2 linked regions of the Rhinolophus ferrumequinum genome follow. The protein of the gene in region 1 purifies or fractionates together with the protein of each later gene. This does not show direct contact. Links are inferred from orthologs where the notes say so. Each region holds a gene or a part of one and is shown on either strand. Other genes may lie near its edges.

Region 1 (7,963 bases):
ACGTTGAATTACTTTTGCTGATTTTCGTATGTCAAATCATTGAACTTGTATGTCAAAAGGAATCTACTATCCTTTTGAATTTATTTTGCTAACATGTTTTCTTTTAAATAAACTTTATATTTTAGAGCAGTTTTAGGTTCACAGAAAAATTGAGAAGAAGGTACAAAAATTTTCTACCTACTCCTGCCCCACACATTCATATCCTTGCCCATTATCAACATCCCTACCAGAGTGGTCCACTTGCTACAACTGATGGACCTTCATTGAAACATCATTATCATCCAGAGTCCATAGTTTACATTAGGTTTCACTCTTGGTGTTGTACATTCTATGTGTTTGGACAAATGTATAGCAACATGTATTCACCATTATCATATCATACAGAGTAGTTTTACTGCCCTTAAAATCTTCTGTGCTCTGCCTAGTCATCCCTCTCTCTTCATTAACCGCTGACGAACACTGAAGTTTTTACTGTCTCCATAGTTTTGACTTTTCCAGAATGTCATATAGTTGAAAACAGACTATATAATGTTTCAGATTGGCTTCTCTCATTTAGTAATATGCCTTTAAAGTTCCTCCATATCTTTTCATGCTTGATTGCTCAACTTTTCTTAGTGCTGAATAATATTCCATCGTCTGGATGAATCAGTTTATTTATGCATTCACTGACTAAAGGACATCTTGGTTGCTTCCAAGTTGTAGCAATTATGAATAAAACCGCTATAAACTTCTGTGTGGTTCTTGTATGTACACAAATTTTCAAATCCATTGGATAAATACCAAAGACTGTGATTGCTGGATCATATGTTAAGAGTATGTTTACTTTCATAAGAAACCACCAAAATGTCTTCTAAAGAGACTGGACCATTTTGTGTTTCCACCAGCAATGAATGAGTTTTTGGTGCTCTGCATGTTGGGCAGCATTTGGTGGGGTCAGTGTTGTGGCTTTTTAAGCCCCGTTGTTTTATTCAGTTAACATTCATATACCTACATATTTTCCCCTTTCACACCTCTTCATTCCTTTATGCCTCTCTGGGCTTACAGTGGGGAATCATTTTCCTTTTGCTTGAAGAATACCCTTTAGTATGGGTTGAGTCCTAAAAATTTCTCACATTTTTCTTCCCTTTTCTTTTTCTTCTCTCTCTTTTTCTCCCTGACCCCTGCCAAATGTCTTTGTTTTTCTTTCATTCTTGAGCCTATTATTTAGCACTGTGCTTTGCCCATAGTAGGGAAAACTTGAAGTGTCAAGGAGTTAACCCAAGAGCAATCCTGAACTACTGAGGGATGCTGCTGATGGATAAATAACTCCAGCTTGCCCTCCACTCAGTAGGGTAATTCTGAGGTGTGTCCCACACATTCCCTCAGATGGTCCCCAGTGGGATTGAATTCTAGTTGCCCACAGTGGTAGAACATTCATCAGTTCATCTTTTATTGGGTTTCATCCATTCTCTGTCTCATTTCTCCATTCCTATATAGTGCTTCCTGTAATCACTTCCCAAATAAACTATTTATAGTCAAATCCTTGTATTAAGTTCTGTTTTGGGGGAAATCAAATCTAAGACATGGCCTATTTCAGGGGTATGGTCCTTCAGGGCTCAGCACAAAGTAAGAGGGGTTCATTAGCACTCACCACAGCATTGGGATACCTTGGACATCAATTCCTGTTGTTTTAACCCTGAGTGCTTGTCAGAATTGTTCAGTCTCTTGGCTTCTCACTCTGTGTTTCTGGAATTGGCATTCATCCCAGAGGACAAAGTGGCTCCAAACACAAGACTCACTTTCTTGGGTCTTATTCATCCCTTGGATCCCAGTTTGGTAATTCATCATTATTTTGTTAACTCTCTGTGCCTTTAAGCAGATTTAAAGAAATATTTTGGCTAACTTTTCTAGTTGTCCTCCAAGTGAGAATTAGTCCAAATTATTAGAAAAAAGCCCCTCCCCCCTTCTAGGCTTGTGTTGCACTTTGTCTTCAAAGAGCTTCTTCTTGAACCTTGCTTATCTCCATTCCCTATTTGTATCTCCCCCTCCCCCATCCATGCAATGGGCTTGCACAACTCCATGCCTTTATTCTTGTTTTCCCCTGTTCAAACCGTGACCCACCAAAGTGTTGGGGCCCTGGGAGAGGAAAATTCTCCCTAACATTCCAGCCTGGGACAACAAAAAGGTCACTATGTCAAGATGGCTGTCAGTCAAAGATCAAGTGGGCAGTTTGAATGGGCTGCTAGGAGTGCGGAGAGGGGCCTTCAACTAGGAGAGAGAGTCTCAGTTCCAGGAAACTGGGAGTGGGTAAATCAAGTTGGAAGCCTGATGAAAAGATGAAGACAGATTTGGAAGAAAGACTCATGAAGCAAAATATGGGTATGGTGTGGAGTTTTTTCTGGGGCAAATGTAAAATGACTAGGTTTAAGTTGTATATTCTATTTGCCCAGAATATTCTTGAAAGCTCAGCTTAAATGACTTTTCTTAATTTTCTTGGCTGGAATCACTTCCTCCTTTAACTTCCATAGCACTCTTATTGCATTTATCATATCACATTTTTCCCATTGGCTTTGAATAGTCTGTTCCTTCTAAATTATTAACTAGATGGCAGCTGTGGTATAGTGGAAAGAGCAACACAATCAAAGTTAGATGACCTGGGTTTAAGTCTCAGCTTCAGCACTTACCTGAAATGTTTGAGCCTCAGTGTCTGCATCTATATAATGAAGATAATATTATTTACCCCATAGTGTGATTTGAGTATTAAAAGACAAATGTATAAAGTGGTATATAATGAGAGCCTGAAAAATAAAAGCTTCCATTTGCAGAGCCTAAGTGTTATGAAGAGCCCTAGGAGCTTGACATTCATTATCTTAGAGTTCTCCACAACCTTAGGTAGATCTATTATTTAGAATACAAATTAGAAAAAGACACTATGATAGGTTAAACAGTTTAATCAATGTCACATAGTAGCAGAAACAGGACACAAATCCAAGTCTGTCTGGGTCTAAAACTAGCAGTGTTCATTGGTTTACCCTGCTTTCCCATGGCCTCACATAGACTTCTAATAAGTAGTAGAGCTGAATCACTTTTTAGTCCAAACTCATCTGGGCCGATTTTGGAACAAGTGACCTACAAAAGTGTTCCATTATCTATCTCAAAGGGTACCTACTCTATCCTGATTTATAAATTTTCACATATTTTGTTCAAAAGAAGCTCCTAAGCAAAAGTGTGTATATTGTAATGTATTAACAGAAGAAAAGTGTTATTTAACATTAAGAACGGTTCACAGGACCTCTGATTTAATGAACATTCACACAGCCTGGAGAAGAGGCTTCATGTTTTCACTCTTTGCCTTGAAAGAGGTACCTGCTTTTTGAAGGCGACACAGAAGCCTTTGGGAAGAAAGCTATGAACTGGCTCCACAGTAAAAAGCAGCTAGATCCATTCAAGAATTTGCCGTTTTAATCCCACTGATCTTAAGTTGAAGAACGCCTTTGCAGAGTAGATAGATCATCTTTCATTTAAAAGTCGTAAAAAAAAAATGAATAATTTAAATCAGGAAATTTGTGGAAATTTCCACATTTTGTCTTTGTCTGGCTACGTGACGATGGTGGTGTTGGGGAAATTGGGGAGAACAGGGTGATAAAAGAAGTTGCTGCAAAGTCAGCTCTAAGATTAGGACCTTGTGGAGAGGTTCTTACATAACTACCTTCTCCAATAAAAGGGTGTTCATTTCTTGCCCCTTAACTGATTTCACACTTCCACTTTAAATACAACTGCGGAGGAAGGACCAGAAACAAAAAAAAACCCCAGGGTACGCAAAATAATTAGGGCTGCCCCAGGGAAATCAAACCGAGACAACGCAGGAGCCCCTCTTCCTTCCCACCTCCCCCGGGACACACTTTCAAGCTACTGGCGGACTCCCTACCAGCGCGGGCGGACGCGCCCCTCCGCCTCCTCCTTCCCTAACACGTGCTCTCCGGAACACTCACTGGGAGCTGTCCCTCGGGGGCCGAACGGACCAATACGCACGCGCCTTACAGCACCGTGGCCAGACAACGTTGAGCGGCCCAATCCAAAGGGCCTTACAGCCCGTTTCCCGGAGCCCCGCCCCCTCGCAGCCGTGCCCCCACCCGCCGGTCTCCTCCCTTCTCCTCCCTCCGTTCGCCCCTCCCCCGCCGCTCGGGAGCGCAGCCTGCGAGACGGAGAAACTGGGGCAGAAGTGAAGATGGCGGCGACGGTGCTGGTGGCGGCGGCGGCTTCTCGCCAGTGACGCGCGGTGCGGGCTCATCTCCCTCCCCACCTCCCTAGTCCGGACCCCGTCTGCCGCCGGGACCACACCGTCCCCTTAGTCCGCCCCACTCCTCCCTCCCCAGTCGCCCCTCTCCCAACGCCCCGCTGCCGCTGGCGGCGGCGCGCCCCAGGTCCCGGCCGCCGGCCTCGCAGACCTGTGCGCTGTCGCCAGGAGAGCGGGTGGCGTGTTGATCCGTCCTCCTCGCCCCGCAGACTGCCGGGCGGTGGACACACGCCCGGCAGGGGGGCAGCGGCGGCCCCTGCGCATTTGCTTCCCTCCATTTGGGGACTGGGAGGCGGCGGCGGCAGTGGGTTTTGGGGAGGGGAAGTGGGTTGGGGGGGCGGGCGAGAGCGGGAGGGGGCCGTCCTCGGGAGGAGGACGAGAAGGAAGCACCATGACGTCCATCCATTTCGTGGTTCACCCGCTGCCGGGCACCGAGGACCAGCTCAATGACAGGTAATAGGGCCGGCGGGCGGGGGGAGGGGCGCCTCCCCGCCCTCCCCTTCCCTCCCCCACGGGGCCGCGCCGGGGCGGGCGCCAGTGTTTACGCGCCTGCCGACGGTGGGGAGGTCCTCACTGCCCCAGACTAGGCCCTTTCCGGGGCAAACTTCTGGGCGCGGGGGCCCGGGGACGTGGGGGGAGCACGGTGTAGATGGGAAAGCGCGCTGCACCCCCCTTGCCCCGTAGGAGCCGCGTTGAACTGGGCGGAGATGGGGGGGGGAGATCGCTCCCGGGGGGGCGGGCTGTAATTACCGCCCGGGCCAGGCCAGAGGAATCCATATTAGCCAAAGTTGAATTGAGACAGACAATGCGGATGGGGGATGGTGGAGGTAAAAAGAGAGGGAAGAGGAGAAACGGGGCGAGGGGCCCCGGGGTAGGCTGCGCTCGCCGGGGCCCCTGGGAGTTGTGTCCGGTGGGGTGGTTTGGACCTGCCAAGCTTGAAGATCCGGGGCGGGGGGGGGGGGGGGAAGCAGGGAGGAGAAGCTGATTCCCGGCAGATCGCGGTGGGGGGTGGGGGAGGAAGCGCCATGATTATTGTTATTATTATTAAATATGAGCCCCTGCAGTGAGGTTTGCCTGCCCGGGGAGGGGATGAATTCAGGCGGGGGTGGGGAAGTGGGTTGGATTCCCTTTGCTCTCCTTCTCCCTAAACGCTGCTGGCAGCTCCAGCTCCCGGTCCCTCTGGTGCGAGCTTTTTTGTTTGTTTGTTTCCTTTTTTATTCTAATGATAGTGTTTTCGTGAGTTGTAATTTGACAGCTGAAAACCGTGCGTAGAGTCAAAGGAAAACTTACGTCTGCAGTTCGCAATGCTGCTTTTCTTAACATGCTGTAAATTTCTGGGATGGGTTTACAATGGGCGGAGGAGGAATGATTTTTCTTTTTTCTTTCTTTCTTTCTTTTTTTTTTTTTTTTGTCTTTCATAAGACGGCTGTTTTGGCCGTGGATTCCTCCCCTTCCTCTTCCACGGTTCCCTGCCAGTTTAGGATATTGAATTGCAGGGCCGCATGCTTTCAGGGAACTGAGATAAAGCAGGAAAAGTTCCTTCACTGTTGCAAAACAGACTCCGAGGAGGTTGAGGGAGGCCTCCATTAAAGCAACTCTTAGAATCTAGGACTCGGATCTAATGATGGGCTAAATGTTCTCAGGGTCAGAAAGTGGGGCATTTTAATACTCCTTCTACCCGATGCTTTCGCTGCTGTCTTTCCTTTGAGTATTATTAGAAGCCACCTGGACCCAAGTTTTGAAGTTAGATATAATTTTTGCTAAGTGACCGGGTGACAAGTTGCATGACGCCCTGTTTGTCATGCGCTTCCCAGAGGGAGGAAGAGGCCTAACTTGCTGCTATGATATTGGCCTTGGTCTCAAAGTATCCAACTGCCTCAGGTGGGGCCGACAGCTTTTTAATTTGAAAGCTGGCGATTTAGTTTCTGGCCCTGGGTTCGGATTTCTCTGATGTTTGCTGTAGCCATATTGTATTTAACATGTTTGTGAAACTTTTGGAATACTGTCTGAAAATATTAACCACTTGGACTTACCACATGTTCCTTTAAATATTGAAAGACATTTTAAGTCATCTATTTTAACATTTTATTAGGGATCCTTACTCTGATTTTATTTCATTAGTGCTAGAGATCTTTTTAAAGATTTTTAACATAAGATTTTTTGGGGGGTAAATTTTAGAATCAGGCTAGAGGTGGTGATAGTTCTGGTGTCATTCACAGAACCAAGTTGGTAGTGCCTGTATTGTAACTTATTTTGTAACTTAGAAAATTGCACCAGGGAGCAGAGAAATAGGGCATATTTTCTGTATTAGTCCTACTTTATATATACCAAGAATCCTGACAAGTTCATTCAATGACTGCATGCCAAAACCTATTCTGCAGTGGTGTTGGGTATTTTGATTCAATTTTGAATATTCCTTATGCTTTAGCTAATCTGAGAAATTTATAAATAATGTATCTTTTTTAAAGCTATGTTTTCTTTTTTCATTCTTAATATAAACATTCAGCTTTGTTTTTTTATTCCTATAGTGTCAGTATACAACATTAAGAATATTTAGATCATCTTTTCATTTTATGAAATAAAAGACAAGTGTATTTGATTCAGATCATAAAACGTGTGCATGGGGTAGGGGGGAACAGATATTTTGAAAAAATACAAAAGTGCTGTCAGTAAAATTTTAGGGACCTGTAGTTACATCTAGTAGCAGTAAAACTGGTCTGTTGAGATTTGTGAAGGCAACATTTGAGACAGTCCTGTATCGAGTTTTGAAGTGCAGTAGTTTGAAGGGCAGTAGTTTGACTTGTGGTGGAGCTGTTCTGTCTCCCCTTCAAAAGTAAAGCGTCATTGCATACCTAGTTGCAAAGTATAATAGGAACAACCCACTGGTGCATTGCTTGAGAAAAATCTGTTCCCAAAAGATACTGATTTTCTGGAATCTTTTAACTAACTAGAATAAGAAGCCCAGAGTATTTTCATCCTCAGATGAAAACTACCAAGATTTTGTAAGTTTTGGTAATAAAAAAGCGTGTGCTCCTATAGCTTGATTTTTATGAGAAATGTGCCTATGATAGTCACAAATGAAATAATTTTGCGTGAAAAAAGGTATAAATAGGTAGACTATTCTTTATACAAAAAGAAGTAAGATTGGACAGGCAGTGTGGTACTGCAAATAAATTGCTCGGTTAAAGAAAACTTAGGGGACTCAAAACATCAGTATTTTCTTCAAATATGTTTTCTTTCCTTAAATAGCCACATCCTGTTAAAAATCAAATATCTTGTTCAGTGTAATCTTGTGATGTCTCAAATATCTAAAATACACATAGCATTAAAGAAAAGGTTGTATCTGATTTTTTTCTTTGTGTTTTCACTTGGTAATTCTATGGTAGTTTTTACACATTTTTGTATGTTTAAGTCTTTAATTTTTGGCTCTGAGATACCAAATAATGAACGCAGTTGATGTATAGGTGGGGATGGCTAGGACAGAGAAGAGGAATTCAGAGAGCCTAGGATGTTGGTTGTGGTTTCCTGGAGTGATTACAAGTTCCCTGGTGCTGAGTGGCTGGTCCTCTGGCAATATTCATTGTGTTGAATTGAAACCATTCCATACTTTCTTTTGTGACATTTTGATTTTTTTCTAGTGAATTTCTTGAGTTAGTGCTGTGTTCCTGCTTAAAACATTGCCTCAGA
Region 2 (6,626 bases), on another chromosome or scaffold:
TTAGTACAATCTAAAACTTTTGCTCCTTTAAAGAAGACCACGGAGATGGTTTTGCCAGTACTTGTTCTAGTTTGTTTCCTTTTGTACAATTTTTAAACAATTAAAATGTCCAAAATCTTAATAATTTTCTTCTTTCCACGTTTGCAACTGTCCTAAATTTCAGCTGCAGAATCAAAATTCAGCAAGAAGCCTCTCCTTGAAAAATATTGGCAAATTCTCAGCTTATAAACAATGGACATTTTGATTGCCATGTTTATCTCGATAAATACTGTACAAAAGTTGCTTGCAAATATTAAAACATTTTTTCGTCGCTTGGAGACTAGCTCTAAATATTATTGGTAAAGACTTTTGCAAACTTTCTGCAAAGCTCCTACCGTATCACTAGAACTTTTAAAAAGTTTTGTGTAGTTTTCTTTCCTCCAGATCTATACAAGGTCCATTCCCTCGCCCTCCCTACCCCCACCCCCACCCCGTTTTCTCTGTACAAAAATAGTCCCCCCAAAAGAAGTCCAGGATCTCTCATAAAAGTTTTCTTGTCGGCATCGCAGCTTTGCGTGAGTGTAGATGGGATTGGTGTTCTTTTTTGCAGATGTCATTTGCTGTGGGTGACGACTTTTTTGTTTTGAGCGTACCGGGTTTTTCTCCTTGCTGTTTCTTACTCTCCTCCCATTTCCCTCGTTTTTCTTTGAAAATCCCCCCACCCCCCACCCCCAGTTCACTGTCCGGCCCTCACATGTGCGAGAGGGGCAGTGTGCCGTTAATGGCCGTGCCGGGCACCGGGCCGCTCTGGTAATGCTGGGACATGTGAAGTCTGCTGGGGGCGGCCGGCTCTGGCACCTCGGCGCCGGGGAGATACATGCTGATCATGTCCCGGAGGTCCCCGGCCTGGCAGGGCGCCCTGGAGTGGGAGGAAGAGGTAACCACAGGGGGGCTGGAGCTGGCCTCGGACTTGACCACCGAGCCCATGGAGCCTAGCGCCATGCCAGGGGTGCCCTGCTGCGAATAGGACATGCTGTAGGTGGGCGAGCCGTTCATGTAGGTCTGCGAGCTTGTCATGGAGTTATACTGCAGGGCGCTCACGTCGTAGCGGTGCATGGGCTGCATCTGCGCGGCGCCGTGCGCGTTGAGGCCCGGGTGCTGCGGGTAGCCCAGCTGGTCCTGCATCATGCTGTAGCTGCCGTTGCTCCAGCCGTTCATGTGCGCGTAGCTGTCCATGCGCTGGTTCACGCCCGCGCCGAGGCCGGCGCCCACCCCGACCCCGCTAGCCATGCTGTTGCCGCCCGGGGCCAGCAGCCCGCCAGGCAGCGTGTACTTATCCTTCTTCATGAGCGTCTTGGTTTTCCGCCGGGGCCGGTATTTATAATCCGGGTGCTCCTTCATGTGCAGCGCTCGCAGCCGCTTGGCCTCGTCAATGAACGGCCGCTTCTCCGTCTCCGACAAAAGTTTCCACTCCGCGCCCAGACGCTTGCTGATCTCCGAGTTGTGCATCTTGGGGTTCTCTTGGGCCATCTTACGCCGCTGCCCGCGGGACCACACCATGAAGGCGTTCATGGGCCGCTTGACGCGGTCCGGGCTGTTCTTCTGGTTACCGCCCGCCGCTGCCGCTGTGGAGTTGCCGCCGCCGCCGCCGCCGCCCCCCGAAGTTTGCTGCGGGCCCGGCGGCTTCAGCTCCGTCTCCATCATGTTGTACATGCGGGCGCTGTACGCGGGCCCGGCCCGCCGGCGACCGCCGACCCTCGGCCCGGCCGCGACTTTGGGGGCCCGCGGGCGGGGGGAGAGGAGGAGGGGAGGCGGGCGGGGGTGTCGCGAGCGCAGGGCTCCGCGAGGAAAATCAGACGAAGAATAATTTGGGGGAAGAAAAGAGAGAGAGAGAGAGGGAAACTGGAATCAGGATCAAAAAAAGCGCTTCCCTCCTCTTCTGGCCGATCCTGCCGCCGCCGATGATTGTTATTATTATTTTTTGGAAAGGCTTAAGCCTGGGGCTCAAACTTCTCTCGCTTTCTTTCTCTCTCCTCTTCTTTCTCTCAGTCCTAGTCTTAAAGAGGCAGCAAACTACTTTCCCCCTTTGCAAACACTCTCTTCTCTGCCTTGACAACTCCTGATACTTTTTTGAACAAGTTAATAGACAACCATCCATGTGACGGGGGCTGTCAGGGAATAAATGGGTTTCCAGCGACCAATCAGCGCGCGTCGGCTCCTCCACTCGAGCCCAGCCTCGCAGCCGGGTTTTGCATGAAAGGGGGCGGGGCCTGCTGGTCCGCGGGCCGCGCGGGGGAGGCAGGGGGAGGAGGGGGATGGAGGGAGGGGGAGGCGGCTCCCACTGCCAGCCACTGAGAAACCTTTGTATCCCCTCTCGCAGCAACAGGTCACACCACACGCCTTTTCGAAGGAAGTGGGTAAACAGCACTAAGACTGCGATTTTCTTCTTTCTTAAAACTTAATATTGATTTACTTTTTGGTGCGGGCTCTTGAAATGAGGAAGGGGCGCGAAAAGCCGCTAAGGTGTGGGGGTGGGGCAGGAGAGAGTGGGTGGTTCAGGGCGACTGTCCTACTGGTATTTCAGGAAACAGGCAGTGTTGGATGGAGTCGGTGTGTCATTGTTCTCCCGCTCCTCTGCACACTTCCCCCACCAACTCCAGCCTCTCTCGTGCTTTTCCCTCGCCTCTCTCTTCCCCTTGCTCCTCTTTCTCCACAGGTGCCGACACTCGCTCACGCACTTCTCGCACTGTCCCGACAAGAAGTTAGGAGACGGAACGCTCAATCCCCCAAACCTTTCTTGCTTTCACGCAATTTGTTCTGTTTTAAAAGTAAATCCTGCGCGGACTATGCGGCCGACTCTAGAGCGAGGCTAGGCAGGCCCTGGGTGAGCTGCCGCAACCTCGCTCTTCCCTCCAACTCAGCTCTGGCGCAGGAAACCACAGCTTGTTCCCTCACCCTCTCCCACCAGTCTTTCCCCATTCAGTCGGTGCAAAGGGGATGCACGTCCTCCCTCTCCATTCTCCTGCTGAGCCTCCCCCAAAGGATTTTAGTTGTGCCGGTTTCAGAAGGAGGCTGGGGGCAAGAAAAGAGCTCAACAGAAGGACGCTCAGAGTGCAGGCGGTGGGGGAGCGTTAAGCTCAACTTCTTGGCATCCCAGGGCACTGTGTGGAGGTGGCATTTGGGCCGCACTCACAAACTCCCTCCCACGCAGAGTTCACAGGACTCGAGCAGAACCAGCCCTGGCATTTCCCCCTAGTGACTTCTACCGTGATGGCCGCATTTCCCGGGCCGCCCGGGTCTGGAGTGTGCGCTCGGAGGGGGCTGTAGGCCTGGGAGGAGGGAAGGGTAGTGCTCGCCAGGCACAGGTGCAGGCATTGCCGGCAGGAAGATGGAGGCCAGGACTGGGGAAGAGGGGATCCCAGTAGGGCCAGGGCTGAAGGAGGATGGGATGGGGGCGGGGTAGGGACTCAGAAATCCTGCCTGCCCTGGACCCAAGAGGGTAATTTTAGCCGCTCTCCCATTGTCCGGACGTAAAGATTTCAATAGGTAGGCGCTCAATGCGGAGAGCAATGGCAGCACGTCCGTTACAAATAGGTAGTTTTGTTTCTCTTGTTGTCGCTACACGGAGTCAAACAAAGCCCCGTCTAAGTTTCCTTCCACTCTCTTGTTGGGATCTTTGTGGCTAAAATGCACTTGACTACAAAGGGGGGGAACCCTGATGCCATTTCTTTTTTTATAAAGGGCTTAAACCATCAGGGTTACTTATTTTCTTTCTTCTGTAACACTCTCCGCCCCCTTCTCCTCTGATCCACCCTTAGTCACCCTAAGAAAATGTACTGAATAGTATCTGTCGGCCATGTTCCATTTATTATCTTTACAAAACTTTGCATTGTTTTGTTCTTTACTAACCTTCTTCCCATAACCGTCATCACCCCCACTCCAACTTCTTCAATCCCTGCCCTCCCAAGTTTTTCTGTTCTTGTCAAACTCAAGATTAAGTATGCTCACTGGAAACCCAGAAAAGTTGTGAAAAAGAATCCTGTAGACTTTTCTTAATAATTTATTATTTCTAATCACGGCCCACCCCCCTTACACACACACACCCGCAGGTTCTCCTTTTTCTCTTAAGTTATGGTTTGTTTCAGTTCTTGGGAACCCAGGAAGGACGAGACTGGCCTTCTCAAAACGCATAAATGTAGTCACTCTTCAAAATAAAGCAATGTCTTTTTTTTAATTGAAAGTGTAATATTAAGCTAATCACGCACATGAAGATTAGGAAAGAGAAAAGGTTGAGTTGATCTGGAGAAAAGGCGGCCACGGCCTTTTCTGAGCGTCTTGGTTTCAGGGATGTGGCTGGTGCGCCCCCTACTGGTGAATTCGCTTTCCCAAGACTATGGATTTTACCTTTAAAAGAAGGTGTTTGGAAATAAAAAAATGGGGGGTGGGGTGGGAGGAAGATCAAACTAAATACACGTAATCTAAACAAAAGAGAAGTTAACATATCATATAAGCTATGGAACCGAATCATAAGACTCAGATTTAATTTGCTTAACTTAGAAATGTACATATATAACCTCGAGAGAAGTGGGAGGTTAAATCATGGGGAAAAAATAGGTACAAATTGTGAGATTCAACATATGAATGAATTATGATTGTCCAGATTCCACGAAGGGCAGACCAAGCATTCACTTTATGATTGTGTATGCATTGATCTGCGCTTAGTATAATAGCATTATTCCAAAAAAAAAAAAAGAAAAGAAAAAGCTTATGGATAATTAAGTTTGAAGAAAAAAACCCAAGGGGTTGGTATGGGTAATGGCGGTGTATATGTATTAAAATAAATGTTAATAGTGGATGGTTATACAGCAAATGTTTTTAACCTTTCTCTCTCCCTCTCTCTCAAGGGGTAGTAGTAAGAGGCACAAAATTTTCCTTAAGATGATATATAAAAGCTTTTATACATCGTCAGATGTCTGTGTTTGTGCCTGACTCTATAATAATTCATTTAAGAGGTTAAAGGGGCTGGCTAGGTCTTTTGTTAATTGCTTTTATCATATAAATAAGCTATGGAAATACATTACAATTGTGTTATCATTGGTTGCATTTATTTACAGCTTTATTTTAATTAAGCCTGCTGTACTTATCAAGGCAATAAACTAACTGGATGGCATTTATGCATAATAATGTGCTATGAAAATAAGATTAAAGAAGATGGTGATAGCAGAAACAATTTTCTCATTAGACTTTTTTTAGAACATATGCATTTAAAAAAATCAGATCACTGGCCACTCTATTTCAGTTCAGCACCATCACTGGCCCCTAAATATAATAATAACTATAACAATCACGATGTATGATAGAAGCAGTACTGTTTTAGATTTATAACAGACGGCTACAGTACTAATAACAATACACCATTGACTACTAAGGAATCAAAATAAGACTTGAAAGAGGGTGCTTCATCCTTCAAAAATTTTAAATGTTGCCATTGGTACAATTTATGAAAATTGAAGTGCTTAATATAAAGAGAGTGTAACATTTCCCTTCCATGGGCAGCAAAAAGCTGCATACTTTTAGAGCAAGATTAGAAATTAAGAACAAAAATGCATAATTCCTGAGATATTCGGATTTGATTTTGTTCTACTATAGGCCTCTGCCAAGAATCCTTAACTGATTAAGTGTAGTTCAATTTTACTTAAAAATCTTTTGCACTGATATGTCTCTCCTAAACTCCCCTCATCCCTCCTCAAGTATTATATCTGAAGCCAACTAACAATTTTGTGGATAGGGGACTGTAGACTTATTTTTTCTTCTTAGTGGCAAATAGAGGTTTAACTTGCAGTAATTAGGTGAGAACTAGCCAAGCATCGTACTATTATGATGCTTGTTAAAAAACGCTTCTTTTCTGCATCTGCATTTGAGTGTGTTCCCCTCCTCTCTTAATCTTCTTATGGAAATGAAGGCAAACGGCAGGGAACCTGCAGAGTCTTGGAGAATGTCCTTGTTAACTGGAATTTCTCAGCATTGCTAATTAGCAGAGTTTGACGACGACCACCAGTATTGGGGGGGAAAGCTCTGTTTAACCACTCACAAACCATTCTGAGGAAGAGCAGACTAATTTTATTTTGTAATTAAAATCTGAAAAGGGCCCTATTTGACAGTTAGGGCTATGAGAGTTTTATCTCCCCGTGAAATAATTACTGCCTTGATAACTCAATTTTCTGAAAAAATGTCAACTGTGGGCTCCAAAAGTTTTAATTTCATTATGTAAGGAAAAAAAGAGAGAAAAATAGAAGAAAATGTACAGAAAGGTTTTCTAATTCTGGAACTAGTTAAATGTATTAGGAGCCAGATTTGGCCAAATGAAGGTGTTTTTTTTTTTTTTCCTCCCTTTTTTTGGTCACGTTTCCTCCGGATCTTAACCTTCCAAACATCTTCACTGAAAGTGACCATAGTAGTGATTTTACTGCAGTAAAAGAGATCATACCAGTGTGGCAAGTCAGAGGCAAATAAAACTAAAAACAGAGGTATGGCAACCCAAGAAAATTTCCTGATTTTAAAAGCCAAAAATAAAGGAAAATTCCAGTGTTTACGACAATGCTGATGCAATCTGGTAAGATGAGATTTTATTGATATTTATTCCCTAA

The links.
Region 2: the proteins of UBR5 (region 1) and SOX2 purify together in Homo sapiens (affinity purification with western blotting; 3 studies listed by BioGRID and IntAct, with this or other methods). This does not show direct contact. The link is inferred for Rhinolophus ferrumequinum from reciprocal best matches to the Homo sapiens genes UBR5 and SOX2.

The regions. Positions count from the first base shown.
Region 1 is NC_046297.1:43,905,313-43,913,275, reverse strand, and holds the start of UBR5 (E3 ubiquitin-protein ligase UBR5), read left to right. Parts: upstream 1-4,606; 5' UTR 4,607-4,667; coding exon 4,668-4,729; intron 4,730-7,963. UniProt on the Homo sapiens protein: E3 ubiquitin-protein ligase involved in different protein quality control pathways in the cytoplasm and nucleus. Mainly acts as a ubiquitin chain elongator that extends pre-ubiquitinated substrates.
Region 2 is NC_046285.1:62,840,923-62,847,548, forward strand, and holds SOX2 (transcription factor SOX-2), read right to left. Parts: upstream 2,143-6,626; 5' UTR 1,693-2,142; coding exon 730-1,692; 3' UTR 621-729; downstream 1-620. UniProt on the Homo sapiens protein: Transcription factor that forms a trimeric complex with OCT4 on DNA and controls the expression of a number of genes involved in embryonic development such as YES1, FGF4, UTF1 and ZFP206. Binds to the proximal enhancer region of NANOG.